Linked DNA regions of Neodiprion lecontei. The protein of the gene in region 1 interacts with the protein of each later gene in a pairwise test. Links are inferred from orthologs where the notes say so. Each region holds a gene or a part of one and is shown on either strand. Other genes may lie near its edges.

Region 1 (8,198 bases):
ATCCTGATCTGGATAAGGCGAAAGTCGGAATATAACCGACTCTGTTAACCGCACGCTCAGCGCCGATCCAAACGCTCTTCATACAAACTGTACTATACGTATATATATTATACATCCTTCACGTGAGGAATTACCCAGGTTTTATGGCCACTTGTTCTCTGAATTAAATACCAGACTTCGTCGAACACGGCATATTATATCGAGATTATTCAGCAGCTGTGGAAAAACTCCACTTCCTTGGAGGATCCACTCGATGAATGATGAGTAACCGCGATGCACACTCGTGTTTACCATCCCATTTAAAGATATCCACCATTTGTTTAAGAACGCTTCATATGAATCACGGTCAACTGGTAATAATAAATAATTGACGAAGAATTCAAGATTTTCAGATTATCAGATTTTGTGTCCGATCGTTTACTGGAACAAACCTTCGACGTTATAACAGTGTACAATATATGGTCCTATTACAGGAGTAAGTACAACGAGGAATGACAATAGTGATGTAATACGATATTTTGGAACAGCGAATGATCTTCAATCAGAAGATAGGTGTATCCGCACGGCGAGGTGGTATCTCGATCCTATACTGCACGTCAATTCGTGCACAAACGGACGTTGGTATAGCGAGAGTCCCAGCGATAGCTGCGGCCATACGCGTTTATCGGCGTTCCGCAATTTACGCCGACATAAATTACGTTGCGTGTATAAGGTTGTAGGATAGCTTGGGTATACACGTATATACGGGTGTACAAGAGTAGGTACACGTGATACAATAAGTACTTCGCATAGCGGGTGACGCGAGTTCCTTGTTGCGCATAGAGAATAAGGATCGGCATCAGACAATGTGCCCCGGAGTCTCAGAGGCTGCACCGTTGGAGTTTACAGGTCCTGGATAGGTGCCGGAGAGAGGGAAGAAGCCTCGCGGAGACGGACAGTTACCAGGCACTCTCGCATCTTGCCGGGATGCAAATTTCCCAACACCGCGAGACGCGTTCGTGACTGCTGCAGGAGGAAATGCCGAGGAGTCTTGAAGTCACTGCGTTGCCCTTCGTCGCTGGCTTCGAAGTAGTGAGGTGGGGGGGAAGGACGTCGCGGATGTCGCGGATCATGACGCGTGGGCGAAGGATGCCCATTCAACGCGACCGAAGTCGCGTCGGTGTTGGCTGCCCGTAGCCAGACCTCGTCTCCGCGGGAATCAACTATACAACTTTCCATATCGAGAAGTTTTTAAGCTGCACCTTAGTGGTGGGATAACCAGGGGCGCCTACACGCCTTCGACGCGAGACAGCTAAATAGAGGTGGAGAACCTTCCCTGCCTCCACAGCTGCTGCCTGCTGCTGCCTGCCTGCCTGCCTACCTCTCTAAGGCATTAATTATCGTTATTGCTGCTCCGCCGATTTATGCCTTATTCGCCTATGCTTCCCTCGTTTATGCGCTAGGTCATCTTTCCGGATTTTAACCCGTTGAATCGCGTGATACGCCTGGAATCGAATGAGGCATACGGAATTAAATAAACAAACCGCCCAAGTACACTGACGTATTGAGCTGCTTGTGCTTTGTGGTTACCGTTAAAATAGATATACACTGCGGTATATTTACAGTATTAATTATTCAGGCCCGCCTTATTTTGTAATGAATCCAACATCGTCTGATGTTTGCGTCTGATTACCAATAGCATTCTCATGAGACGTCATCTGATATTGTAAAATTTAACACTTCGAGTCAGATTTAATTATAAAAGTCCCAAATATTTCTCTCTGCGCATATTCTCAATGCCGCACGACAAACGTATGTGTAATTCGCCTGAAATTACATGTTGATGGGCTAGCTATATCGATATGACGGATCTCCGATATAATATTTTAAACAGGATGGATGGATGGCAAGGGTCATAGCGAACCGCATAATTAAAATTCGTCACAATCGTTTCATCGTGAACATATTTAATTTATCTAAATTCTAAGACTTCACTGCAAGTATGTACAATGGTATTTACAATCCTATATCTCAGCCATGTCCAGTAACGCGTTCAAATGGGTCGGAGCCCATGTGGATCCGTTGTGGCAAACAAAGACGACGTTTCTATCGATGTAAGCCTGAACGTTGCCGACTTTATAAACTTGTTTCCCTTCCCTGTATCTGTTTGGCACGGGCATAAAGAGGATGCCTCTTTCCTCGCACCGCTTTTGTATGAGATCCTTGAAGCCTTGTGGAATTTGCGACGCGGTACGCACGGCCTCGGCAATTCTCTGAAGTGGAAATCATAGAAACTCGTCATTATAGATATCTGCGTTAACTACACGGCGATACAAAGATAAAATAAAATCTTTCTTCTCTTGTTCTCACCTCCATCCTGGGCTGAGCGGCTGGCGCAGACGGAGGTAGAGCGGTTTGAGTTCTTTCGAGATTTGTGAGGTAGGACACTTGTTCCATTGCTCCGGGTTGGTGTCCCTGAGGTGCCGCTACCGCTCTGTTCATCATGTCCAACGCCTTCTTGAAGTAGTCTGAAAATTCGAAATATTTTCATGAGCACGTTTAGGTTTTATTGCGACACGTCCTTTACGTGAGAAAAAACTTGACAGATACTCGCCCTTTATTTGCGGCTCTGCCAGCAGTTTGTCACTCAGCATTCCCTTCCATCCCATATACCAGTTGGTGACTTGATCGTAATTGGGAGAATGATTTAACCAGAGAGCCAGGACTTGAAGCCATTTGGGGAAAAAGAATTTATCCAGTAGACCTGCCATGGTGTGAATCGGCAGCATTTCGTTCCATTCAAATACCCAATTCCATTGGTCCAGATGCTGCTGGTGCGGGTTGATCACAAATTCGGCTAAAACTACTTGAAGTTTTGGAATGATGTTCTTCACCAGGAAAGCTTCCATGTCTCCCTTCTTGAACACCAGGGACCACGGCTGCAGCATCAGTCTTGCTGATCTGTCCGAAGGATGCCACCCTCCTAGCGCTGAGCCCAACTTACGACGAATGATCGGATACACTGCAGTGTCTAAGCGATTACCTACGGAAAATCATGAACGGAGATGGGGAAAGTAAGAGAATGTATTAAATCGAACTTAAATAATTCATCCCTTGTACTCCGAATCCGTTACCATTCTTTTATCACAAATTTCAGCAACTACTCTTACCTATCAATGGTAACCAGGGATGAATCCAGGTATGAATTGGTACTGTGTCGGTGAGAGGATTCCATTCCTCAACTTCCAGCGTCAATTTGGGTAGAACCAACAAGTCGAGTATGTTTTCCAGTATCCATCCTGGCAGAAGAGGAATCCATTGCTCTAGAAGCTCGACTAGAGGATCAGGTTGCCGGCAAGCCCACTGTCTGAAAGAGTCAACACCTACGTAAGTTCCACTAATCAGCTGATATCTGACAATGTAATTTTCTGAAGACAAAAATACTCACTGTACAGCGCCTCTTATTGACGGCATCCAAGAGTTCCATACTAGTTGATCGTAGGGTTGCAGAGCTCCGCTTTGCAAGGTGCTTCTGCCACTTTCAAGAATATTTTTCCACTGCTTGAATAGTGGAATGGGGTGCGTAGGGTTCGTCAATGGATTCCAAGTAGATAAGAATTCCTTAACTTTGGGACCAACCAGGCCTGTGGCAAGTTCACCTAATTCGTACATTTTATACTCTTCGTAATATTTCTCCTGAAGATCTTTGAAGGCTGCTGCAGTTTCCTCTAGGGACAGATCATTGGATTGGTCCATGAGCTGATCGACGATAGATAGAACGTTTTCCAGAGTGTCCATTAGCTGTTCGTGCTGGTCTACTATCTTAGATAAGTTTGACCTTTCCGCCTCAAGAGCTACCACCCTGTCGGACATATGACGAGTTCGGCGATCGTTCTGTATAATGTCTTGCTCGCACAAATCGACTAGCAAATTGAGATTATGGCGGAGTTCAGGGAGGGCGAAATTCACGCCTGTTTTCTTTACATCGACCGGTGTAACAGTCTCATCGGGTCGCTGTTGTCCACCACCGATTGCATGATAGCCGCTTAACACTCGTTGTTCAGGTCCTGTCATGTCGATGACTTTGACTTTGCTCATTTCACTGTTCAACTGAACTTTTCGGTTCGGTCTTAACTTGCCATCCTCCAGTACTTGGTCAACGCTCCTGTAGCAATATCTCACTTTCTTCTTGCTGACCGTCTCCCCCTTTCGCCATTGCGATAATTTTGCTTTGAACTCCTTCTCCTCCTCTACATCCTCGTCTTTTTTCTTTTCAGGCACCTTGGCCAATTTTTCTGGACCATAAGCACCTATCGCTCCCCTGCCTTTACGGAGATGAGCCTCTACCGGAGCCATTATACCTTGCAACTTCTTACCGAGACCTTTACCGGGTTCAAAACCCATCTATAACAGGAAAATCCGACACACTGGTCATCGCAGGTGAATATTCTTTCATTAATAGGTAACAAACGAACCGTGTACTAACCTGAAGCAAGAGTTTCGCTCCAATTCCTTTTGTGTGCATTTCCCAACTTCCGACTCCTGATTTCATAAGTACTGGGTTAACTGATGTTCTTTTTTTTCGCAGACCAGCTATGTCACCTTCTAGATTCAAGGAAAATGATGGCTTTGCTCTAGCGAAGCTCGGTCCTTGGTCATCTGAGTCACTGGAATGTAAAAGAACAGGATATGGATTGTACAAAGGCGTAAGAATGGGAGCGATAGCTGTGGAAGAGTGATTGTAGAGCTTAGAATTTCATGACACTAATTTATGTTGATGACACAATGAGTTTGATTGTGCTGAGAATAGAAAATTGTACAATAAACTGATATTTAATACCACTACAATGATTGATAATTCATAAACTATGGTAGAAAAAATATATTAAAAGCTATACCTAGAACTGTTGGGAACGTAATCAGCATCTCCTCGTTTTGGCCGACCACCTTCGTCGTCATCATCTTTGTCTCCATCAGATTCTTTCTTGTCATCCTTGGGCTGTCCAGCTTGCTGAATACCACCGGCAACAAAACTAACTGGTGCGGTGTAATTCTTGGGGCCACGATTTGATGATTTGAAGGAAGGTCGTGCTGGCACTTCTTCTTCATCACTGTCATCAGCCCATATTCCTGACGATTACATTTAGTGATGGAGAAATATGTGAATGTAACAGAGTTAGGAGAATTCAAAGTAAGATAATAGATTTTTGCTTACCAAGCATCTGTTGTTTTTTGGACAGTTTTCGCCGAGGACGATTAATGTTGAATTCATTGTCCAGATCGTAGTCTGTTATTTCAAAACTTTCGACTTCGTCCTCAGACATTATAAGATCGATAGAATATCTCGGATCAAAAATCTAAAAATTTGAGGTTAACCCAATGCCTCGAACGTTTCTGAGTGAGACCACGTAACTGGAGTCGATGCGAACTTATTCTATATGACAGAAGACTTTAAAGTACCCTTGTGCTGTGTAGATATTGAATATCAGGTGATTTCATGTTAAAAACATCCCAGTGTCGAAAACACCAAATCGTGAACAACCATGCTCAAACTACGTTATTCTCTAGCGGACTCACGTTGGTCGGTTTCGTAAACTCGATGTACTCCAGCGATTTCGTAGTAGGTAACGTAGGTACTGCGACTAATAAAGGATTCTGTAATGCCGATAAGGCCAGATAAGTTATGAACGACGTAGCTATCTGAAATATCGACAAAACTTTAAAGAACAAATCGGATGTACACAGTCTAAAACTACAGGTGATGAGAGATAAACGGACTAGCAGCTAAGAGGAATTACTACGTGTTTTTGACGTATTTCCTCATCGGACGGAGCTGTGGCGATCTATTTGCACGTTTTTAAACTATTCGGGGAATAATTTGACGGGACGGGGTCATACAAGTCAAATCTGAGTTCAAAAGATTTTCAGCCAAAAAATGAAGAAAAAGTAAGGCTAACCCATTTGCATTTTTGTCGGAAATTTTCGCGATTTTGAGAAGTGCTGGAATAAATTCTTTCTGGCACTATTCCGACGTAATTTTGCGAGAAAAATCGATTGGGCGCAGTCCCAATACGCTGCGATCAACGCATCAAAAGTTAGAGCCGAAAAACCAGAACCCGAATTTTCGACATTTTTCAGCAGGTGTATTTTTCTACTCAATTTCTCTCCTGTTGATCCCACGCTCTTTTCGCTGCGTTTTCTAGGTTCCTTGGGGTCCAATTGGTCGGGAAAGAGTCATACGAATCAATTCTGAGACGAAAAATTTTTCGGTCAAAAAAAAAAGAAGGTTAACCCCTTTGTATTTTTGGCGAAAATTTTCGCGATTTTGAAAAGTGCTAGAATGGTTTAATTGTAGCACTATTCCGACGTAATTTTGCGAGAGAAATCGATTGGGCGCAGTCCCGATACGCTGCGATCAACGCATCAAAAGTGAGAGCCGAAAAACCAGAACCTGAATTTTCGACATTTTTCAGTTGGTGCTTTTTTCCTCGTATCTTCTCTCCCGTTGATCCCACGCTCCTTTTGCTGCGTTTTCTGAGTTCCTTGGGGTCCAATTGGTCGGGAAAGAGTCATACGAATCAATTCTGAGACGAAAAATTTTTTGGTCAAAAAAAAAGGAAGGTTAACCCCTTTGTATTTTTTGCGAAAATTTTCGCGATTTTCAAAAGTGCTGGAATAAATTAATTGTGGCACGATTCCGACGTAATTTTGCGAGAGAAATCGATTGGGCGCAGTCCCAATACGCTGCGATCAACGCATCGAAAGATACAGCCAAAAAACGAAAACCTGAATTTTCGACATTTTTCAGCAGGTGCTTTTTTCCTCGTATCTTCTCTCCCGTTGATCCCACGCTCCTTTTGCTGCGTTTTCTGAGTTCCTTGGGGTCCAATTGGTCGGGAAAGAGTCATACGAATCAATTCTGAGACGAAAAATTTTTTGGTCAAAAAAAAAGGAAGGTTAACCCCTTTGTATTTTTGGCGAAAATTTTCGCGATTTTCAAAAGTGCTGGAATGAATTAATTGTGGCACTATTCCGACGTAATTTTGCGAGAGAAATCGATTGGGCGCAGTCCCAATACGCTGCGATCAACGCATCGAAAGTTACAGCCAAAAAACGAAAACCTGAATTTTCGACATTTTTCAGCAGGTGCTTTTTTCCTCGTATCTTCTCTCCCGTTGATCCCACGCTCCTTTTGCTGCGTTTTCTGAGTTCCCTGGGGTCCAATTGGTCGGGAAAGAGTCATACGAATCAATTCTGAGACGAAAAATTTTTTGGTCAAAAAAAAAGGAAGGTTAACCCCTTTGTATTTTTTGCGAAAATTTTCGCGATTTTCAAAAGTGCTGGAATAAATTAATTGTGGCACTATTCCGACGTAATTTTGCGAGAGAAATCGATTGGGCGCAGTCCCAATACGCTGCGATCAACGCATCGAAAGTTACAGCCAAAAAACGAAAACCTGAATTTTCGACATTTTTCAGCAGGTGCTTTTTTCCTCGTATCTTCTCTCCCGTTGATCCCACGCTCCTTTTGCTGCGTTTTCTGAGTTCCTTGGGGTCCAATTGGTCGGGAAAGAGTCATACGAATCAATTCTGAGACGAAAAATTTTTTGGTCAAAAAAAAAGGAAGGTTAACCCCTTTGTATTTTTTGCGAAAATTTTCGCGATTTTCAAAAGTGCTGGAATAAATTAATTGTGGCACGATTCCGACGTAATTTTGCGAGAGAAATCGATTGGGCGCAGTCCCAATACGCTGCGATCAACGCATCGAAAGTTACAGCCAAAAAACGAAAACCCGAATTTTCGACATTTTTCAGCAGGTGCTTTTTTCCTCGTATCTTCTCACCCGTTGATCCCACGCTCCTTTTGCTGCGTTTTCTGAGTTCCTTGGGGTCCAATTGGTCGGGAAAGAGTCATACGAATCAATTCTGAGACGAAAAATTTTTTGGTCAAAAAAAAAGGAAGGTTAACCCCTTTGTATTTTTTGCGAAAATTTTCGCGATTTTCAAAAGTGCTGGAATAAATTAATTGTGGCACGATTCCGACGTAATTTTGCGAGAGAAATCGATTGGGCGCAGTCCCAATACGCTGCGATCAACGCATCGAAAGTTACAGCCAAAAAACGAAAACCTGAATTTTCGACATTTTTCAGCAGGTGCTTTTTTCCTCGTATCTTCTCTCCCGTTGATCCCACGCTCCTTTTGCTGCGTTTTCTGAGTTCCT
Region 2 (7,230 bases), on another chromosome or scaffold:
GCCAAAATACGAGGTAGCAGTGACCGGCGGAGCAGCATGGTGCATGGACGTGAATAAATCGAAAACACAGATAGCAGTTGGGACAGAGGATGGTTATATAAACACATTCAATGTGACAGATGACTACCTGATATACGATAAAATATTCGACAAACAAGAGGGTCGAATATTATGCATAAAGTGGGATATTACGGAGCAAATGATATTCACTGGGTCCATCGATACAGTTAGAATATGGAATGCAGTTTCAGGTCACGCTGTTCACAGAATGACGACATCTAGGAAAGAGGCGAACAAGGAAACAATCGTCTGGTGCCTGGCTGTGACCAATGACAATGTTGTTGTGTCCGGAGATTCCAGGGGGATTCTTTCATTCTGGGATCCAAACATGGGAACGTTGATAGAGTCTCACCAAAGTCACACTGCCGACATTCTCGCGGTCGCTATGAGCAGTGACATGAACACTGTTTACTGTGCAGGTGTAGATCCCACCGTTTGCAGCTACTCAAAAATCACTATCAAGTCTAGCGGCAGATGGGTGAAAGGTATCGAAAGGCGGCTACATGAACACGACGTCAGAGCGTTGGTAGAATCAAACGGGAAACTCTATTCAGCCGGCGTCGACGGGCACTTGGTACAGTCTACATACCCACCAAAAACCATGATAAAGTATCCACCCATTTTACAGTCCCCCTGTGTCCTGTTAAGTGAAATGTCAAGGTGCATACTATTGAGGTACAGCAACTACCTTGAACTATGGAAACTTGGATCGATTAGTAGAAAGTCGCAGCAGAATTTTCAACCTGGCACAATACATCAGCTCGAAGAAGAGCCGATCAATTTACTACAGCTAAGAACAAAGGCTAGTGAAAGCATAATATCGTACGCCATAACTAAAGACTCAAAAATGATAGCTTACTCAACGAACTCTTACATCAGGATTTTCAACTTTGATGTAGTAAATAACGACCCTGTTCTCTCACGATACGAGACCTCAAATTTGCCTGTGCACAAAGCGCACAAAATGTTATTCAGCCCTGATAATTCTAGGATCGTATTGGTCGATGGTAGTAAGACAGATAACGACGAGATAAAGATAATATTTATGAAGAATCAGGCAGGCTCGTTAAATTACGAAGGAACGATACCTGTTGGAAAAGAACTAGTCGATAATATTAATCTGATCTGTTTCTCGCCGGATGGCGTATACTTAATCTGTGCTGATTATCAAAATAACATTGCCATCTATCACGTCGGAAAAGATCTCAACATTCGTGCGCCTAAGCTATGGTTACTGCCTAGGTACAAATGCCCACCGACCGCGATGGCTGTACAAGAAAACACGTTGAATCTAGTTATTGTGTATTCTGATCACAAGGTATGTAAAACAAATGTCTGGGTGTGAGAATAATGGCTGGATTACGCAAATAAGTCGTCAATTCACGCTATTTTATTTTTCAGATCGTCGAATACAGTATTACAGAAAAACGCTATACACAGTTTTCTACAAACTTAGAGGAAAAACTGCCAAAACAATGGCTTTCTCGGGCTATACCTATCAGTCATATAACATTTGATCCTAGGAATGAAAATTTAATAATAATGCACGACAACACGATGATCTGCGTTGTTGATAAGGCGAAAAATTTGCCCAATTCAGGAGCAAAAATTTTCAGATTGGATAACGGCGACTCTATGGATAACAGTAATCATGAAACGAATTCACATTCTCAAGGAGCTTTTCGAATTGTCAAAAAATATAAGGTAAGTTAAGGCTCATAGGTAATTAAACTAGAGACAAACCTAGTGGATGCATCATTGCATGTTTCCCTCTTATTTTAACTATCATGTTTATTCGACTTCCTTTCTGATCCATTATTACAATAAAGAATCATTTATATCGTGTATTGATTTGAATATCTTTGTTTCAGAATTTAGTACACCTAGGTTGGTTGGTCAATGATGAAATGGTAGCTGTTGAATTAAATCCGGTCAAATTGACGGAAAATTTACCACCATCTCTTAAACAGAAGCGATTTGGCATGTAGAGCATTCCTAAACACACTGATATCACATGTGCGACGATACACTGAACCAAGTAAAATGTAATTTTCAACTTTGACTTTACCGTCATTCTTCATACAATCCTGATCATTCCTAGTCATCTATTTCACACGATATAAATATAAAGTATAATTTGAACGTGACCTCCTAGTAAGTACGAACACACGAATGACAAGTAAAAAACTAAACTCAAAAATTTATTATGTTGTCCGATGTTAATCAATTTGAAGGTCTTCAATTTCGTATTGGGAAATTAAATGATCTTAGATGTGATCCAAAAATAGAGAAAGAATATCAATTGTTTATAACAAATAAATTTTTATTGCATTGTTATTCGACTTGAGACAGTAGAATATTTAAAAATTATACATATAATTCAGGCTAGTTCTGTCACATGTTACAGCAAATTATTAGCTATAGTTTCACCGCCTATATAGTCTGTCAGCATTTTGCCTAGCTATTTCAGGATTAAATTGCGAATTATATTTCTGTTGTATAATAGGTTTTGGAACTTCCTTCACTGCGGGTTCGATTGGGTCTCCGTTCAATTTAGCTAACAGCATCTTGGTCTTTAATTTTTCAGCATTTTCCCGTCTTAATCTCTCTGCTCTTAATTTTTCTAAATCTACACTAGGCTTAGGGGTAGGCTCCTCAGTTTTCGACCTTTTATGTTTTTTTGATTTCTTACTCTTGTGTTTTTTGTATCTCTTGCGATCACCGTCTCTAGTACACGATTCTAAGTCACTGGAATCGCGTTTTCTTTTCACAGAATCTGTAGTTTTTAATTTTTCTCTCTTAAAATTTGGTGACGATGTTGACGGCAAAGTTGAGCCCATTATCTTCATGTATTTCCTGATATCGTTTATCGGGTCATTTAGAAGTTTTGTTTTAATCCCAGCCTCCTCATATTTTTCAGTCTCAGAAAGCCTTTTTGGAAGTTCATTGTACCAGCTCTTGTTTCCAGTAGCTTCATTTGTATCTTGTCCCAAATAAGTCAAATATCCAATTTGCTTTTCATACTTCTCCTGTTCCTGCTTTTTCTCAATTTCATGATCAGCATTTGGTTTACTATAATCAGTTTTTCCATCTTCGATGTCAGCAAAAAAATTTACGTGCTCTAAGGGGGCTTCTGATGTTGTTGCTTCCTTAGCACCCTCATCCTTTCCATCTGCAACTTGACGACCGTCGTACCTCTGCCTTGCTTGGTCTCTGAGAAAATTCGTCCTAGCTTCAGTTTCCTGAAAAAATGATAAATAAACAATTGCCGATAATTTATTGTTCATTTAAAAATAAATCATGTTCTTAGGTTTTTAGAAATGCAAGAGACGCAAGTCAATGATTCTGTTATATATTTGGGTAATCGTTTTATCGTAAACATTAATTATATTGGTACAAAACGAGTTCTTACGGCTTTTTGGACCCGGGCTTTTATAGCCTTTTCTTCCTCGGCAGCTTTAGCTTCATCTCGACGTACCCTAGCAATGTTCTCTTTGGTGCGAACGTGCCATCTGCAGAACGAAATAACAAAAAAAAAAAAAAAGGAAATACCAACATTATAAACAAGTACTTAATTTAGATGGATCGAAGACTTTTAATCGTACTACTATGATTTCATCTGTAAACACAGCTAACAATAAAAACAAATAATTGTGTGACATGAAAGCTATTCTGTGGAGTAGCCAATCATACGTATAACCTAAAAGTAACAAATTTTTTTGAATCAATTTTGTCACTCACCGTTTTTTGGGTAAAATATTCATGTTGATTAGATTTTCAAAAACCTAACAATTATATATCTGCCAGCAGCTAAAACGGTAACGCTTGTATTGTTAGTCTTTTTTGAACAGTTCCGAAAATTGTAATATAACACTTCACAATATCAACGTTGACTGAAAATACATAAAGACGGCTAGCCTTATGGGGCTTTTCGTGATCGAAAATGGCCGACATGAATTCATTGTTAAGCAGCGCTCTCTGCGTTGTCCCGTACACGCGCAACTCAGTCCGGCATGCGATCTGTAAATAATGGCGACACGAACTGATGTTTTCATCGCTCACCGCATGTACCCTGATAATGCAGAGTCGAATATTACTATGCCTTTGGAATGACGAACGAGAACAGACTGAACTTTTCATATAAATCCGTATGGACGCCGTGTACTGTTCAACTACGCAAATTCATTTGAACTAAATTCAGCAATCTCAATCTAACTCTATCGGAGCGACAAAAATAATGTTACCTAAATAGATGCACAATAACCATACACCTGGTTTATTGTTAACAGTTAGAAACCTTTTCTTGATGCAAAGGATGATATACATAGTTAAAGAAGTTACTCAAAGAATGGAGATATATAGTTGTTCCTATATGTACATATGTTATGTAATTTTTACACATGTTTAATACTTAACTCGTACTGTTAACTGAAGGTAATAATATATATTTTCAGTCAACGCTCATATCTTCGTTCCGAACGAAGATGCAGCTGACATATAAAAATAATTTCTCGACTCACGTTAAATTGCCGTGGTTTTTTAAAATACAGTTTATTTGCAGCAGAAAACCCAGACCTTTCTACACAAAAGTACTACTTGTAAATATTTTTTGGAAATTAGGTAAGATTCGATTGTTACTAATGTTTAGTCCAAAAATGGATTTTCCTGATTCCGTATAACCAAATTATTATCAATTATCTACGATATGTGTCAAAAAAACACAGATGAAAGGTTGTAAGACCTTTTGGTAGCTTCAAGAGTGTTTTGCTTCCAACAATCCAAAGATTCTGATCTATCGCAGTATTTCTATAGATTTCCGCAAACAGAATTTACAAACTTTGCAGACTTAGATAGAAGAAGAATTTTACGGAGTGAAGAGGAGTCGTTGGTAATACGACAATGAGTTACATTATATATGTTAAAATTACAAAGAACTTGTCAGTAATTCATGTAATTTCTTGGTAATCATCCAAGAAATATACATCGTTGATGAGTTGTTCGAACTGCATCGGGTTCTGGTGGTGGGCTGATTGTCCGTTTTGGAGAAATATACATAGGCCCGTTAAATTCCAAGTGATACTCTTTCTGTGAAGATCGCTATCTAACAATGTTTGTTTTTGGAATTGGTGGCGAGGCGGACAACTGACGCGTAAAACGGTTAGTTATTAATACAAAAGTTAGTAATACAAAAAATTCAAGAAAGAAATACTGGGAATGCTATGCCGGATAGACAATTGAAATTGAACCAACTTTTTCGAAAAGTCGAGTTGTTCAATGAGTAAGGAGTAAAACTTTTAAATTTTACAATTTAGCGATTTTACTGTGTCAACTGCGAAAGGTCAAGCGAGGGAGAAAGATGTTTGAATTGCCAATCAATTGCCAAAGGTATGTGCACCTTGTTGACTTTCATTAAAAAACGAAATTTAACAAACAGAATGTATTTACGCGTGTATTCACTCTGACTAAACTACAGCAATCCGAAGATATTACGACTCCACATGCGTTAAGACATTATCGGAGCATGAGTTTTATTGGCAATGAGTTAAATTCACGCAAGATTAAAATTGTCATTTGAAAAACTACAATATGTTAGTATCTGACCAGTTAAAATAAGTTCACTTATGCTCGTTTCCACACCACCGCAAGCAGTAGGGTACTCGGCGCGTTTTTTTTTTACGTGGTATCCCCAGTAGGCCTATTCCACGGAGAATACTTGCAAGATCGATTTTATGTTCTTTGAAAAATTGCGAATGACTTTTTTTCACATGTTAATTATAGTAAATTATTTTTCCCAATTACTTTGTACTCGCATCCAACTTTTTTAGTTGAATGTACTCGCATATATTCACACTTTATTCGAAATTTTTCAATCCATATAACCCGATGAGTATTGATTATTGATGAAAGATGACTGTTTTAATTATGGATGAAAGATGATTGTTTTAGTTATGGATGAAGGATGATTGACTATGGATATTCGTGCGCAGGTTTTTGTTTCTTATGAGGTATGAGATAATCACTAAAATGGAGAACGAGGTCAATTCGCAAAACAATTAACCACTAAACCAGATCTAAGCCTAAAAAATGAAAAGTTAATTTTTTAGTATAGTCAATAAAACTCAGTTAGCTGGAACAGATGAAAATATAATTAGTGACATATGTAGATATAGACAAAAATATAATTAACTTAGATAAGTAAAAAATATAAAGACAAATTAATTAGCTGAAACAGACAAAAAGATTGACGGGCTGAAACAGACAGAAGATTCGATTAGCTGAAACAGATAAAAGGTTTGATTAGCTAAAAGAGGCAGAATATTTGATTAGCTGAAACATACAAAAGGTTAGATAAGCTGAAATAGACAAAAAGATTGATTAGCTGAAAGAGGCAGTATATTTGATTAGCTGAAACAGACAAAAGGTTAGATAAGCTGAAACAGACAAAAAGATTGATTAGCTGAAAGAGGCAGAATATTTGATTAGCTGAAACAGACAAAAGGTTAGATAAGCTGAAACAGACAAAAAGATTGATTAGCTGAAAGAGGCAGAATATTTGATTAGCTGAAACAGACAAAAGGTTAGATAAGCTGAAACAGACAAAAAGATTGATTAGCTGAAAGAGACAGAAGATTCAGTTATCTGAAACAGGTAACAGGTTTGATTAGCTGAAACAGACAAAAATATGGATTAGCTGAAATAGACAGAAGGTTCGATTATCTGAAATAGATAAAAGGTTTCATTAGCTGAAACAGACAAAAGGTTTGATTAGCTGAAACAGACAAAGGTATGGTTAGCACAATCACATAAGTCCATATATTGCCAAAAAATGGGTCGAGCCCAACATGATATTCGCTTTAATATTCGTTGCTTCGATTATTAATTGTATTGAACAGACATTCTAAATTGTTTGAATTGACATCTCTTTCTGCTTTGATTTATTAAAGTGAATATCTTTTTTGACTGAACATTCTATAGTTCTCAGTGCATTTGTTAAAAAATTAGTTTTGTTACCCTGAAACAGAAAATAATACGATCAGTTAAACGAGTATTTCTGTACACTTCAGATATATTTCATAAATACTTACGCCAAGAATCTCCACTGTATAAGTCTACACTACCGAGATTTTTTTTTTCTGCGCGTTGAGCGTCGGCTTTCAAATGCTGCGCTTT
Region 3 (7,156 bases), on another chromosome or scaffold:
GACGTAGGTGGTTAAGGCTGAATATTAAATGATAAAATAACAAATTGTATCCTAGACGCGTACGTACGTGCGCTTGTGTTTTTCATAATATTTGGAATATAAACGTTTCAAACGGATTTATTGGATATGTACTATTAGAGTGGTTCACAAAGAAAGAAAAAAAACATTTTTTTTGTGCTGCCTCCTGATAAAACTGTTGTATATTATGAAAAAAAATCTGCTGCACATTTGAGCTCGATCGGAAGAGATCTGGAGGTCCCGTTTTCAAGTTTTCCTTTACACATAGAAATAACACGTAAAAAATGCTAACCTTAACTCACTGGCAATTTCGCATGAAATTATAGAAGTAAATGAAAAATGTCAAGAGACCTTTTTTGTAGGCAACAATATTTTGTAAAATAAATAAATAACAAAAGCTTTTATTTTATGAGAATTTAATACGAATATTTTTGATCGTTCAATTTTATCAGTTTTAAGTTTTTGTACTAAATATTGTTGCCTACACAAAATAGAGGGTGAATGTCTCTCGAAGCGATTTGCTTGAGCCAGTAAAGGTGATTTTGTGTACTGCATCAATCACTCTGATTGTGAGTTATTAGTTGAATACGCTTCAAAAGAAATAATGAGAGTGTCACATCCTCGATGCCCTCTGCCCTTAGATATTAGGTACATTCTAAATTGTTTCATACGTTTTCTTGATATCATGCAATTTTGTACCGTTTTCTTCAACCGCTTGCACGATTGTTTCTTTTTTTCCGTTCTTTCTTGTGAAACAAAATAATCTTAATAACTATTTAGGTAAGCCACCCGCATGCGTGCGTCGGAGGGATTCTTTTAACATTTGCTGAGGACTAAATTGATGCCCGAAAATACCGAAAGGTATTTTCGAGGACAAGACATCTGGCGTACACACGCAGTGTAATAAAACCATCCATCAAATATTACCTGTTTCGGGTAGGATGGCGCAATAATAGAATACGTTATCTTTGCATATATGATGCAAGTACGGAAATTCTTACCCGCACCCGTGGAAAGGCTGGAGTGGGATTACGTAACTAACCCACTACGCTGGACCCAAAATATCATCTATACATACTTGAACTTCCTCATTGGCATAACTACCGTGAAAATGTAACGAACCAATCAGGAAGCGCGTTAGAAATCTGCACACTAAAGTACAAATCGTTAAAAAGTGTTGCACTAAGTAGAAGCTAAGCAGTTCAACAAAAATCTTTGAACAGAGCAGTCCAGATACGTCTTCTAACTAGGGTCGACCATCAAACAATCTTTTAACGATACATGGACAGTTGAAAATCATCCCTCAAACAGAGCAATTCTTCGTCCACCTTCGATCAGGGTAATTCACAACATTTTTTTAGATCTTAACGAATTGAATGACTCTAAAGAAATTCCGTGCTTCTAATACTATATCAAATAATATTATTTTTCATAACATTAACCAAACATTATAATCTCAACTTAGTTTGAATTTGAATAAACTTAATCATTGTGTTCAATTTATATTGTGAGTTAAAACCTAATTAATAACTAATGATAATTCATATCATAAATAGTCATCGTCGAGCACGCAGAGCCGCCCACAGCCCGAACCATCAAAATCGACTGAAGGTAAGTGATAACTTTTATTTTAAAAGCTCATCTCTTAATACGAGATCAACCAAAATATGATAACTCCTCGTTCATCTCAGGTAAACCGTGTTCAAGAACTTTGTCTTAAAACGAGCGTCAAATTATTGTGGCGAGTTGATTCTTTCTTAGATAAATAATAATTACAGTCAATCTAGCCCCTAACGATAGAATACTACGCGGGTATAGTAAATGGCCGCAACAAATTTATGAGAGCCATAAGTTTAACTATTTTACCTCTCCGCCACGCGATAGACGGAGATGATGATGGACAGCAATTTCAAAATCACGCTACTCACTCGTGCGCCACAGCAACGATATCTGCCAACAATAAGGCTGCATCCTCTTGGCCTGATAGCCTCCGTATGCATTCCGGCTTGTTTCGCGTAGTAATTAGCCAACCGTGGAGACTGTAAGTTTAATGGAAAAACTCATTACTGGCAATTCAAAATTGCTGAATTTTTGTACTGTAATGTGTTTTGTATATGTACAGTGGAGGACTAAACCGTTCGATTCTTGACACCAAGTGGTCTTAAAATCAACACTACAATAGTGTGGACTCTATGGAATATTTTCGGTGTTACATTTAACACAGAATTTCTAACGGTGCGACGAGTTCAATTTTTTCTTGTTATTGTTGGAATCTAACAGTAAATAACAGGGTGGTTACTAAATCTCCGATACGAAATTCCCTGAATTTTTCAGGTTTTCCAGCCAAAATTTTTAAAACAAATATCCCTGACCACTCGTATAAATTGGTTATAGCGAATTGATAAAAATATACGTATTTTCCACATCATTGTTTATTTTTTTATAAAAGTACGAACCGTCACTCGGGTCACACTGTCCCATCCAGCCGATGCGCACAATCGGTTGTAAGGTAATATTTAGGAATATTCAAAGTTTGAAGAGAACCTTCCGGCGGTGGTAAAAAAATTTGTATGCGATTTAATTTATCCAAAGCTTAAAAAAATTGTGGGACGTATGTGTATGATAAAAAAATATAGTAAACGATTCCCTGACTTTACGCAAAAACCTCTGACATTTCCCCGACTATTCCAGAATTGCAGAATTTCATGACGTTTCCGAGGTTTTCCAGAATTCTCTGACCAGTGACCACCCTGAATAAGTACAAACATTACAAAATAAATGACAGCTAATTTTTCAGGGTGTATGAAGAAATAACTTAAAATTATATTCTATTCGGAATTACTCACGGTGATTCGCATTGATGAATAACGATATCCTTGTGGATCTGCTTGCTGTGTTCTGAAACGACACCATGGATCACCGATATGGACGATCACTTACACAAATTGGCACGCTAATTGTACACTTCGAAAATTAAACGAAAATCTACTTTGAAATACGATGCACTTGTTAGTATAAGTATATCAAATAAGATTGCATTTGAACCGAATGAAGTGAGTTTACAGAGAATTGGATTAACATGATCCAGAATTTTACCCGAGTTCAAGTCAACGCGAATGAAAATTGAACCGATGGAATTTGCTGTTCAAATGCTCTCGCAGTGGCAGTTGATCGATTATACACGACGTGAATCCCATTATAAGCAACGAATTAATAATTTAAACCCGAATATCCAGGATATTTTGTAACATTTCTCTCACTTTGAACACAACTAATACCAAAAACGTCAACATTCAGCCGTTAAATTGGCGGCAAATTGTCAATATGGCGGCGCTTCGGTCGTTTGTCTATTGTTTATACTACAGGAACGTCATCTGAACCGAACTGTATTATAGTTCAGTGCACAGAACCTGAGAGCATATAAGGTACATGCTTTAAGCACAGAACCCACCGAAATTCATTGTCGAGTAAGATTTCTTTCAAATTTTTACAGCTGCAACAGATATCGTAACCTTGTTTTGGTCAACTGGCTTGCTAATTGAAGTAATGGATATTTATGCTCACAAGTATTTACCTTGACTTAGAACAATATTTACTAAACATCTCTGCGTGAAAATGTGATTATGGCATGATTTTTTGATAAGGTCGATCAAACGGCGATTCCGCAACTGTCGCCATGTAGACCAATCAGAAGGCAGTTTGAAACGGAAAATCTTCTCACGAGTGAAACCCGCTGCCGTGTAAACGAGCCCAGAAGTCCGCGCTATATTTACATCTCTGTTTACGATTTACACAGTTGTTACTTAGTCAATGGCCAAATACGAGAGTTTATTTTTGTACGATATATTAGTAACTGAATAAATTATTTTGTGCGTTGTGTTAATCTGTTACCAAACCTTTTGCACAATTTGAAGTGTAATATGACTGAATTACTCTACATCAATCATCCCATTATTTCGCTGAAGAAGAGTATGCGACAATGAGTTCGACGAAAAAAAGTAAAGTTAACCTCCCGAGTGGCTGGATCGTCGTCAATTCAACAAGCTTTCCCGACAGGGTTTATTACTTCAATGTTCGTACTGGAAAATCGTCTTGGACAGAACCGTCGCACGAGACGAACAAGGTACGTGGGTCACCCTGTTGTTCGACTACATTCATCTTACCACGTAGTTTTGTTACGTGTTCAATCGCATGTTTCATAACCTTGAAAATTCGCTAATTATCTCATCCAAAATCGAGCTCAGCAAAAGTTTAGTGTTTTCCTGCCAATGCTTATGTCAATTTACGTTGAATTACAGCAGTTCTTTTTTATTGCACAGTTTCAGCCCGAAAAAGCTGGACAAAAGCGTAAACTATCAACAGACACCGACGTGACCTCCCCTGATTCAACTTCCTTGGATAAGTTACAGAACTCCAGTGACAATGATAAGCCCCGGCGATTACTGCGAGCCAAGCGATGTTCGGAAACGTCTCAAATATCCGAAACACCACAGATGAAGGCATTGAGAGAGAAAATGACCAAGCAGAAGTCTAAATCTAACCAGAAGAAGAAGCCAAAGCAAGGTCTCTCTGTACCTGAAAATAGTACCCAAGATGTGCCACTGCTCAATCGTCTTGGTAGTGAGGAATTGCCCCTCTGCTCACAGCGGGCTAAGCAATATTCTGAATCGAGAGTAGTAGAAACGCCCCAAATGAAAGCATTGAGGCAAAAAATTTTAGAGAAAACATCGAAGTCTGTGCAGACCCGAAAGGCAAAATCAAACGTCTCGGGGCTCGAGAATAATAATGAGGATTTACCTCTGTTTGTGGATAAACGAAACAGCAGTATCAAATTAAAGACTCAAAGATGTTGCACTAAATTGTCTAATACTGATACCAGGAAACCAGACGACAATGTTTCCAATGTTAGGAGTACCTTGAATGCTGCAGAGTCATTTGTGAGCAAATCGACTACTTCAGTTACGTCAAGGCGTACAGAGAAGCTGAAAGTAGAAGGACACCGACGAGGTCTTAAAGTCGACAAAAAAAAGAATCTGGCCAATAAAAGATTGGACAGTTTAAAGAATAAACTTAGTACCATCCGTAAGAGAATAGAACCTGCTATATCTGCCAAGGTGGCACGGCGATTGGCAACACAAGATGCTACGTCTAGTAAACTCGATACAATATTCGATAAGAGTGTTGAGAACAATACCGTATATGAAATGCGCTCTATTAGCCCGACAGGTATTTCTATAATGAATTGATCCTAACAATTGTGTTTTAAGATGACATAAGTTTTCACCTAAATTTATCATGCTGTCTTCTCTGACGAATTTTTGCTACATTTCAGACCCATTGCCGAGCATTTATCAAAATACTGAATCACGATTCAGATCGCTCAGAGCAAGGCTCGCAAGCAGGTCATCTTCATCAGATATTAAAACTCAGCAAGAGAATGATCAGTCAGATAAAGCTGCCCTGTCTAATCTTCCAAACATTCCAAAAGTTGGCAGAAAAAAGAAGAAAACTAGTCATTTGGAAAAAACAGGCATAGATAGTAGTGTTGACGAAAGGGCTGATGTGTTTTTGAACCACGCTGTGGCACAACATGCAGATGAGGCCGCATTTTTTGAAGAAATGGAATGGGAACCCATTGAACAGGAAAAACTCATCGTCGAAGTGAGATACATATGAAAGCATTTTCCCAGTTTACGAAAATCATCATCATGTAGTAGAAAATCTAATGATAAAATCATTATTTTTAGGTCCAAGAAGTTAGGATGCATCTCTCTACCGATGTAGGTGCGACGGAGCAGAAACCCCCTAATTGTACTGTAAATGGCCTAGAGTTTTCCCATGTTTCTGAGAACAGGAACCAAACGGTTGTGTATATTGTTGTCGACACCAATGTCTTTTTGTCAAATTTGAAGACAGTTACAGAAATTTTGGAGGGTTGTCATCAAACGAAATTTCAATATAAACCTGTGGTTGTAGTGCCTTGGATGGTATTACAGGTTAGTACTTTTGGAAAACTTGGTACAATTTATTTTCTAAGAATAAATCAATTTTCTTGAGATTTAATTATTTTTTACATGTATTTGATATTCTTCTGCCACAGGAATTAGACTATATAAAGGATAACAAATTGCAGAGGAAATCAACACACTTACAAAGAAGTGCCAAAATCGCAGTTGACTTGTTGTTTCAATATTTCTCAAGTAACCACCCTCGACTGCAAGGTCAAACAGCTGCAGATGCTGCTTCGAACAGAACAAAATATCATACTGACTCGCCAGATGACGAAATATTGCAAACTTGTTTGAAAATTCGAGAATTTGGATGTACAGTTGTGAGTTACTCTCAGAGTTGATAGAAATTTAAGCGTTTACCGATTCACTGAATTATTTTTCTTAGGTTTTGCTATCCAATGACAAAAATCTCTGCAACAAGGCAATGATACACCATATCCCTACTTATGGGCGGCATAAATCTATTCAGGCAATGCTTTTGCTGAATGCGAACGAAATTGAAGCTAAATCCCCTATGACACAACTGAAACAAGTGAAAGGTGTTGAAAACCATACAGAAACGGTTAATTCAAAAGAGGCTGATACATCGGATGAAATTTTTTGCGAGGCAAAAGCTATAATGAAGAACTTTCTATCTGTTGTAGGTATTTTAGAAGTTTGATGCAACTTTTTTTTTTATCTTCATCAAACTTTCTAGTCATAAGTATGTAAACTTAACTCCAAACAATTGTCTTCCAGATCGTTTCAAAAGAAATGGAAAAATTATTTGGGGAAAAATGGGCAAGGCACGTGATAATTCAACCTCCTTGGTCAGTGATGGACGTTCTCAAGTGTACCTCGAAACACTGGATCGCCGCAATTAGTGATGTCTTTGTAAGACGGGCTGAATTCATGGTTACGAAACTGACAGAGATATTTCTCAACTCTCCAAGTATGTCAATTCCGTATTTATATGAAAATAAGACAGAACCGAATATAAAAAGTATCCGAAGTTGGAAAAATTCTTAGAAAAGGTGCTATTTTTTTTCCTCTTTTATAGAAATATACGCGAATTAATTTCTTGTTGCATTCGATTTTCCACACGACATTGATTTTGGATTTCAGAATATGGTCAGAGTTTAAAATCC
Region 4 (6,861 bases), on another chromosome or scaffold:
CGCGGAGCACGTTGAAGTATGCGATTGGTGGCACCTGGTTCCGAGTTCGAAAGACCTGGTCCGATCCGGTCCAATGAGGGTTCTCTCGGAGCGATTACCTCCTTATTACCTCTCGGCTTCCTACCTCTTGCCCTCCTATTACAGCTTGTACACCGCATGCCTACGTGTGTGTATATATATATGTATATGTATATAATGTATATATATATGCATATGTATACCTAACAACCTCGACCGGATGGCCCTCGCTAAATGCTAATTTCATAATAACAGTCTTCGCGCCAATAGGGTTCTCGGGAACTTGTAGTCTGTCTATTTTTTATACCTCGTAAAATGGTGAGTTCGGAGCTGAGCTGTGCCGAGATATGGTGTAGTATAAGGTAGCCCCAACTCAGTACCTGATGCGCGTCGAAGACTCCTCCTCTCTTTCTCTTCCTTCCTTCCTTCCTTCGCCGCAACTCAGCATTTAACCCTTCAACATTTACATACGAACTCGTCATTTACCCCCCCCCCCACTCACTTTTGTCGTTAACAGCCGAAAATGGTATTTTTAATTAGGTGGAAAATTACACGTAATTGTGTCTTTCCATGCGACAGCGAAATACGTATGCAAATTAGTATTTTTTTATTTTATTTTCCAATAGTATCGATTCAGAAAAGAAATAAAAATAATTATTCCGAGGAAAGCCTTTTCATTTTTTTCGGAAGATACCGTTATTGATAATTACTGTGGATTTTCTAAACAAACTGTCATACAATTGGATACAGCATTTCTGACGACATATGTCGTGCCAGTGCAACCTTCCGGGAGACGAGAAAAGCTTCGCTGCTTCTTCAAAGTGCTCGCAACTATCCCTTGTCTCCCATTTGTCAGAGACCGCCTGACGTCATGGAGAACGTCATGAAGAGAATTATTAAAAATGCGCTTTTAGAAAATGGTAAGAAGATGCTTGGAATCTTGAAGACGTTAAAAGAATAATGATAATTATTTCTCGCGGAAGATAAAAAAAAAACCGATGAAAGCTCATTTCTTAACTATATCAAGTCAGAGTCTTGTCAGTCCAAGATGCAATTTTGCGTTAAAATATTTTACGAAACCCTGAAATTCAAAATGCCATTTAACGTAGTGGAACAAAGGGAATCTCATTGTTAAAGTGAAAAACAGTTTATTATGAAATATATGACATCGACGCACATGAACGTCATCAATTATCTTCAGGCTTAAAATAAATGTATATATATATATACACACATTCAAATCACGTTAATGAGGAAGCCTCAAGATGAGAAAGGTTTGCAGAATTTCGATGCGAAGCATCTCGCCAGGATGTCTGTAAGCTGACGCTGTATCTGGCTGTTCGGTAAGCAAAACGAAACCGGCGACTGCAGCAGAGAAACATCTACTCAGCTACGACGAGAAATAATAAAGTGGGAATGAGCGAACCGTACCATAAATTGCTTCGCTTCTTGTTAATGGTCAGCAAGACTGCGCCGCAGCTTCGGGCCCCCGGGGGGAAACCTCGCGGCTAAACGTAGTTCAGTCAGTATTCCTGGTAGCCTTATTGTATTTAATGGAATCAAAGTTACGATCGCTATTTCGCTGTACCGAATCACCTGCACCGCGGAGGCCGTTTTAACCGGTGTTATTAAATTCCTCAGCTCGAAACGGATCGAGTATACCACCGCCTAATTATTTTTATATACATACAATCGATCTCCCACTGCTCGGAAATATACGTAAAGTGCTAGTTATAGAATTGAATCATTGGATTTTTCAGCAATTTACGGGTGCGAATTCGACGTCGATAAATTTATCGCATGCAAATATGCTCATAATTTAATCGCGTATTGTTCAACTATGTTTCTATAAAAATCGAAGATGTTCTGGCTTGCTGCTCGACACTTTTCTAGAGATTCCATCAGCTCGTTCTCCGAGAATCGACCAGTTGTGTGGCAAGACACCAAGTCCTTTTTTATACCCTCGAAAACATACGTGAACGTGACCCGTGCCTGCTGCAATTTTCAATTATTATCAAATATATTAGAATTACGTATGATAAGTAATTGAAAGGAATTGAAACAAAGTAACAATAATAATACGTCATTTTTTGTTGTTTTAGGCCCAGCGTCCTTCAAAACTAATGCTCATACTTCAAAATTATAACTCCATAAAGTTCGGATTAAAGGAAATATTTATACATGAAGGTAATATTTAAAACAAATACCACACTTTTGAATTACGAAATTGACTCAACTAGGTGTTCTGAGACTCAGAAAGTAAAATTAGACAAAATTCGCTGGTTTGTCATTTCTGCTCTGATTAACATTTAGAAACATATAAAGGACAATACATGAAGAAAGTTGTGATCTTTCTCGTCTCTCCTTAAAATTTGTTGACAGAGCACAAAAACAATTTGATCAAAATTAGCGATTAAGGCTTTACTTGAAAATTCAACCTAAGGTTCTAGTTGTAGAAAGTTAGATTATTTCCAAATAGTTCAAACTGGGCAAAAAAAGAAAATACCAATAGCATTTAATACTTATAAATGTGTGAAAGAATATGAATTTTACTTGAAATATTTCAAATATATAAATATAAGTTTTAGAAACCTGTATTTGCGTGCTATCAGGATCTACAATCAGTTTGCCGGACTCGCGGTCAATCATGCAGGATACAGCAGCGACAGTGAATTTCATAGAAATACTGGAGATTATGAGCGCCAGGCAAGCAGCATTAATGGCACAGGCGAGTAACTGCAAAATTGTACGTAACACGTGAGTATTATCTCTTTTAATAAAAGACACAACGAAAAGTGGAAGTAAAGTGGAATCGATTGTTTTGTAATGAACCGATAAAGTGAAGTGATAGAATTGTATTGTACAACACTTAATCAATAAAAATACCAACTCCTCCAGAATCCTGCAGTTCTTGTACATTTATGCTTATTGCCATGCCAGGGTGCAACGCAGTCAGCAGTACAGCCTCGCACGTTTCCCTGATGACAGTTTCCTTCGCTCTGTCGTCGACACCTTAAAATACAGAATAATTATCAAAATGTTAAATCACGTAACAAGCGAAATAATCTGTTAAAGAGCTATAATCAAAATATCAGGATTGTCGGCAGTCAAGAAATACTTACACGGTGGTCCTTTTGCAGGACTAAACATTGTTTCAACGGTCGCTCTGTCGTGCATCATCTTTTGTAGCTTCGCTTCAATTGGTCCATAAACTCCGGCAACAACGACGGTGTCACCTGGAATCGATCATTTGAAAACACCATCAGTTCAGAATTATGGTATGTACATATTAGATACCACAAAAGAGCCGTGCAATAAATTTGAAAAATTGGAATATGTGAATCTAGGAAACTAGGTATGTAAAATCTGGATGTTTATGTGATGATAGCTAACATAAAAAATAAACAAAATAAATGGGAACTCACGCTATGAAAACAAACGACCGTTCACACGAATTAGTTACCTTGCATAAACATTGCCGAACCATCCGGTCTGCTCAGCTGATTTAATTCACAGTTCATCGGTCTCAAAACGCACTCCTCTTCCTCCGTAGTTTCCAATTGGTTTTGCATTTCAATTCGTTTTCTATCTTCGCCGCTCCAATTTGAACTAGGTTAGGAGCAGACAAATGGAAGACACGCGTTGCATCGACGCCAGAGTTAAAGCTCATGAGATGTACGACATGGGGATATCCAGAAACTCGGCGTCGCGGCTTTTCATTGGTCCACGTCAGGATATCCCTAGATATAGCGGAAAGATGTGCAGGGTGCCAACTGCAGAGTATCAAAAAATTCCATGACAGTTTAGCAGCCGATTCAAGTCAAAACGTTATTTATAAAAAATAAGCCACGTGCGATTCGGAAGCAGACGTATTGTAATAACCCTGAAAATGTATAAGGACATTCTATAAGTTCAATTTAATTGGAGATGAAATTTCGATACTTGTACACTAATGTCGTTTAAGACGAGTGGATTTAAGCGGTCAGCTGTTCACCGGGGAGAAAAAGATGGAGCACAGGTGACATATGTGTGGACCTTGGGGCGCGAGTTTATTAATCGTTTGTAATTCAGTTAATATAATCCCCATGAAAAGATAAGTAGGCCCGAGTGATGACGCGATACGTGACGAAAATTTGACGGCAATCATCCCCCCGTCGGACCTTCGTTATTTCCTTAATTTCGAGGATAATGACCAGTGGAGAACGCGACACAAGTCCGCAAAGAAATGGTGATAATTTGCGGCCGACCAATGATTCAGGAAGTGATAACGTGGTCCAAACATCACTCGCAACGAGCTCCGCACTAGAAGAACGATTAGCCTCGAAAATGTTACACTATGGCAAAGAATTATGTTTCTTTGCTGCAATATTATTCACCACCTTAGCTGCTCTTCACACTTCGTAAGTTTTTTAAAAATAGTTAAGGTTATCCGCCAACTCACCTCAATAATTCTACGTTTTTTAATCATCTAGCATATTGTAAAAAAAATCAAATGCCAATATCATGAATTACATTGTAGAAGAAATTATTTTTCAACATTCATTTTACCTTTGGATATTCTTTAACAACACTATTTTACAACGGCGTTCTATTACTGATATTTTTGAATATGTATGATCCGAATCAAATTTAGGAAGTGTCAAATATCGTTACTTGCAAGCGGAGTCAAACTATAGAAATCAATGTTCAATAAAAACCGGTAAAATTCTCAAATATTACTTTCAAAAACATCAAATGAAACCTTGACTGCATTTAATTGTAAAACATGATCTCTCATAGATTTTTTTAGTTGATTAAATACATGTATAACGTATCTGATAAACAACTAGTTTAATAGCGAATTCTCAACTTTGAATGTATTTACAGGCCACCAAAAGTGTCACAACCTCCTTCAGCTCGGCCATTCTTTAACCAAAGCTCGCTTGTTTTGGATTTTTACAAAGGTCATTTAGGCGCCGCTATTGAAAGAGTCACAGATGCAGATCTCAGTTTTGTTATGTACTACGCACCATGGGATGCCGAGAGTCAAGCCGTTAGACAAGAGTTTGAAACTGTGGCACGTTTTTACCACAAACAGGTTCTCATTAATTCATTTACTAAGTTCTATACATAAATCGTTATTCAATTATTGCTTCTTGCCTTTGACATTACTACAAAAACTTGTGGAAACCACACTAACTTTAATTTGTTAATTTTCAGATATTTTTTGCAGCCATTAATTGCTGGCACCCGGGTTCAGAATGCCGGGCTGAATACAGCAAGATTCAGAGCTACCCAGTTTTTATGCTCTATCCTAGGCGAGGACCTGGTGTTCAGTACAGAGGTATTCGTACTGCACCGTACATGATACGCTTCCTCCACGCATTTATGAACCCAATATTCAGAATAACAGACAGAAATCAGCTCCTGAACCTGATTGTAGACTATGACGTAGGTTTGATTACGTTTCTCCCTCTGTCCCTCTCTCTCTCTCTCTCTCTCTTTCTGTTCAATCTGGGTTGCGACCTCTACATGTTTATTGTTATTATCACTTAAGTTATCTCCACATATATGTGAAATTATCACAAAACCTTATGTTCTAGGCCGTGGTGATAGGTTACTTTAATTTTATCGGACTGAAAAACTCACCGGGATACAATGTCTTTTACAAAACGGCAATTAAATCACTAGAAAGAGATCCTAACAAAGAGTTAGCATTCGCAGTGGTTACTGACACTTCTGCAGAATCTAATTACGGAGTTACGGAGTTTCCTTCTGCTAGGTTGCTACTTTGGAACGAGTCATTGGTACGAGCAAGTTTAGCTTGAAAATATATAAATATAAGATTTTGCCTTTGATTCATCTGTTGAACATTGTGCTACGATAAAATATTCATTGTACAGAGTTATCCTGTGGAAAATGAATGGAAATCTGATAGTTTACTGAAGTGGATTGGCGGAGCACTGCATCAAGCTACTCTTTGGCTGCAACCCCCAGGCACCAAGTCTCTCACACTAGCGCCATATTTGAAGGATGGACCAGTATTGTTTCTATTTACACCCAGGAACCCATTTCATCAATATAACTACTACTATAATTTGGTAAATATTTTAAGGATAACTGAAGCTTGAATTTTATATCACACAAACTGTTCTTTTTTCATCATTAACATTTGTTTCATAAATTCTCCTGCCATGATTTTTCCAGTTGAAAGCAATTGGAGTACAGTATTATAATTGCGGCGACAACTTGATGATCAAAAACATAGTGAACCACCTGGAGTCTGTTCGTCCCAGGGAGAAAGCAAAGCATTATGAAAAAAGTAAGCAGTGTATGCGCCTTTTAGATAGAAACAGGGTTCAACAACTGGTTCCAAAAATGAGTATTACCGACCGACAGTGGATAAACAGCAGCTGTTGTTCTCAAATTTTAACTAACAAGTGTTTAATGTGCAAGAAGACAACCTCTGTGTTGCTTAAAAATGAGGATGCGGTATGTGCCGCAAATTTGAACAGCTTTCATCACAGCTGTAAGCCAACAGATGTCTTTAACATACCGACAAAAGAGGGAGAGGAACACGAAAAAAACGAATTTTGTTGTGAAAACTATGACATGATGGAAGATCTCGAAACTTCTACTTTAACAGAAGAAAATGACTTGCAAACTCCAAATGCTTTGTCTGATTACATTCTAAAAGATGAATGCAGACACTTACTAACTGGGAATAATTATCACCCACCAGTATTTCCGAAAAACTTACCTCGCGATCATCAGAAAATTAATTTAACATCTTCTATATGCAAGACTAACAAAACATTGGCTTTGATAGCTGTTGATAGCCTACAGTTCTTTCATATTGCTGAG

The links.
Region 2: the proteins of septin-interacting protein 1 (region 1) and leukocyte receptor cluster member 1 homolog interact in binary tests that used the Homo sapiens proteins (3 or more experiments, as listed by UniProt). The link is inferred for Neodiprion lecontei from reciprocal best matches to the Homo sapiens genes TFIP11 and LENG1.
Region 3: the proteins of septin-interacting protein 1 (region 1) and methyltransferase-like protein 17, mitochondrial interact in binary tests that used the Homo sapiens proteins (3 or more experiments, as listed by UniProt). The link is inferred for Neodiprion lecontei from reciprocal best matches to the Homo sapiens genes TFIP11 and METTL17.
Region 4: the proteins of septin-interacting protein 1 (region 1) and exosome complex component RRP46 interact in binary tests that used the Homo sapiens proteins (3 or more experiments, as listed by UniProt). The link is inferred for Neodiprion lecontei from reciprocal best matches to the Homo sapiens genes TFIP11 and EXOSC5.

Annotation. Positions count from the first base shown.
Region 1 is NC_060265.1:1,083,609-1,091,806, forward strand, and holds septin-interacting protein 1, read right to left. Parts: upstream 5,557-8,198; 5' UTR 5,304-5,556; coding exon 5,195-5,303; intron 5,110-5,194; coding exon 4,878-5,109; intron 4,647-4,877; coding exon 4,466-4,646; intron 4,384-4,465; coding exon 3,428-4,383; intron 3,347-3,427; coding exon 3,150-3,346; intron 3,023-3,149; coding exon 2,594-3,022; intron 2,508-2,593; coding exon 2,350-2,507; intron 2,253-2,349; coding exon 2,004-2,252; 3' UTR 1,930-2,003; downstream 1-1,929. UniProt on the Homo sapiens protein: Involved in pre-mRNA splicing, specifically in spliceosome disassembly during late-stage splicing events. Intron turnover seems to proceed through reactions in two lariat-intron associated complexes termed Intron Large (IL) and Intron Small (IS).
Region 2 is NC_060266.1:21,388,207-21,395,436, reverse strand, and holds leukocyte receptor cluster member 1 homolog, read right to left. Parts: upstream 4,010-7,230; 5' UTR 3,825-4,009; coding exon 3,802-3,824; intron 3,573-3,801; coding exon 3,473-3,572; intron 3,303-3,472; coding exon 2,487-3,302; 3' UTR 2,049-2,486; coding exon of another isoform or gene 1,932-2,048; 3' UTR 1,765-1,931; coding exon of another isoform or gene 1,462-1,764; 3' UTR 1,433-1,461; downstream 1-1,432. Other genes in the region: U3 small nucleolar RNA-associated protein 4 homolog, read left to right, coding at 1-1,378, 1,462-1,764, 1,932-2,048.
Region 3 is NC_060261.1:625,996-633,151, forward strand, and holds the start of methyltransferase-like protein 17, mitochondrial, read right to left. Parts: upstream 3,560-7,156; 5' UTR 3,480-3,559; coding exon 3,470-3,479; exon of another isoform or gene 2,917-3,469; coding exon 2,865-2,916; intron 2,058-2,864; coding exon 1,947-2,057; intron 1,928-1,946; exon of another isoform or gene 1,885-1,927; intron 1,522-1,884; exon of another isoform or gene 1-1,521. Other genes in the region: transcriptional protein SWT1, read left to right, coding at 3,998-4,141, 4,338-5,244, 5,351-5,679, 5,766-6,014, 6,119-6,349, 6,415-6,669, 6,768-6,960, 7,134-7,156. UniProt on the Homo sapiens protein: Mitochondrial ribosome (mitoribosome) assembly factor. Binds at the interface of the head and body domains of the mitochondrial small ribosomal subunit (mt-SSU), occluding the mRNA channel and preventing compaction of the head domain towards the body.
Region 4 is NC_060261.1:41,970,191-41,977,051, reverse strand, and holds exosome complex component RRP46, read right to left. Parts: upstream 3,773-6,861; 5' UTR 3,591-3,772; coding exon 3,482-3,590; intron 3,255-3,481; coding exon 3,141-3,254; intron 3,031-3,140; coding exon 2,909-3,030; intron 2,755-2,908; coding exon 2,611-2,754; intron 2,014-2,610; coding exon 1,831-2,013; 3' UTR 1,150-1,830; downstream 1-1,149. Other genes in the region: thioredoxin domain-containing protein 11, read left to right, coding at 4,207-4,418, 4,885-5,095, 5,218-5,448, 5,601-5,804, 5,901-6,098, 6,205-6,861. UniProt on the Homo sapiens protein: Non-catalytic component of the RNA exosome complex which has 3'->5' exoribonuclease activity and participates in a multitude of cellular RNA processing and degradation events.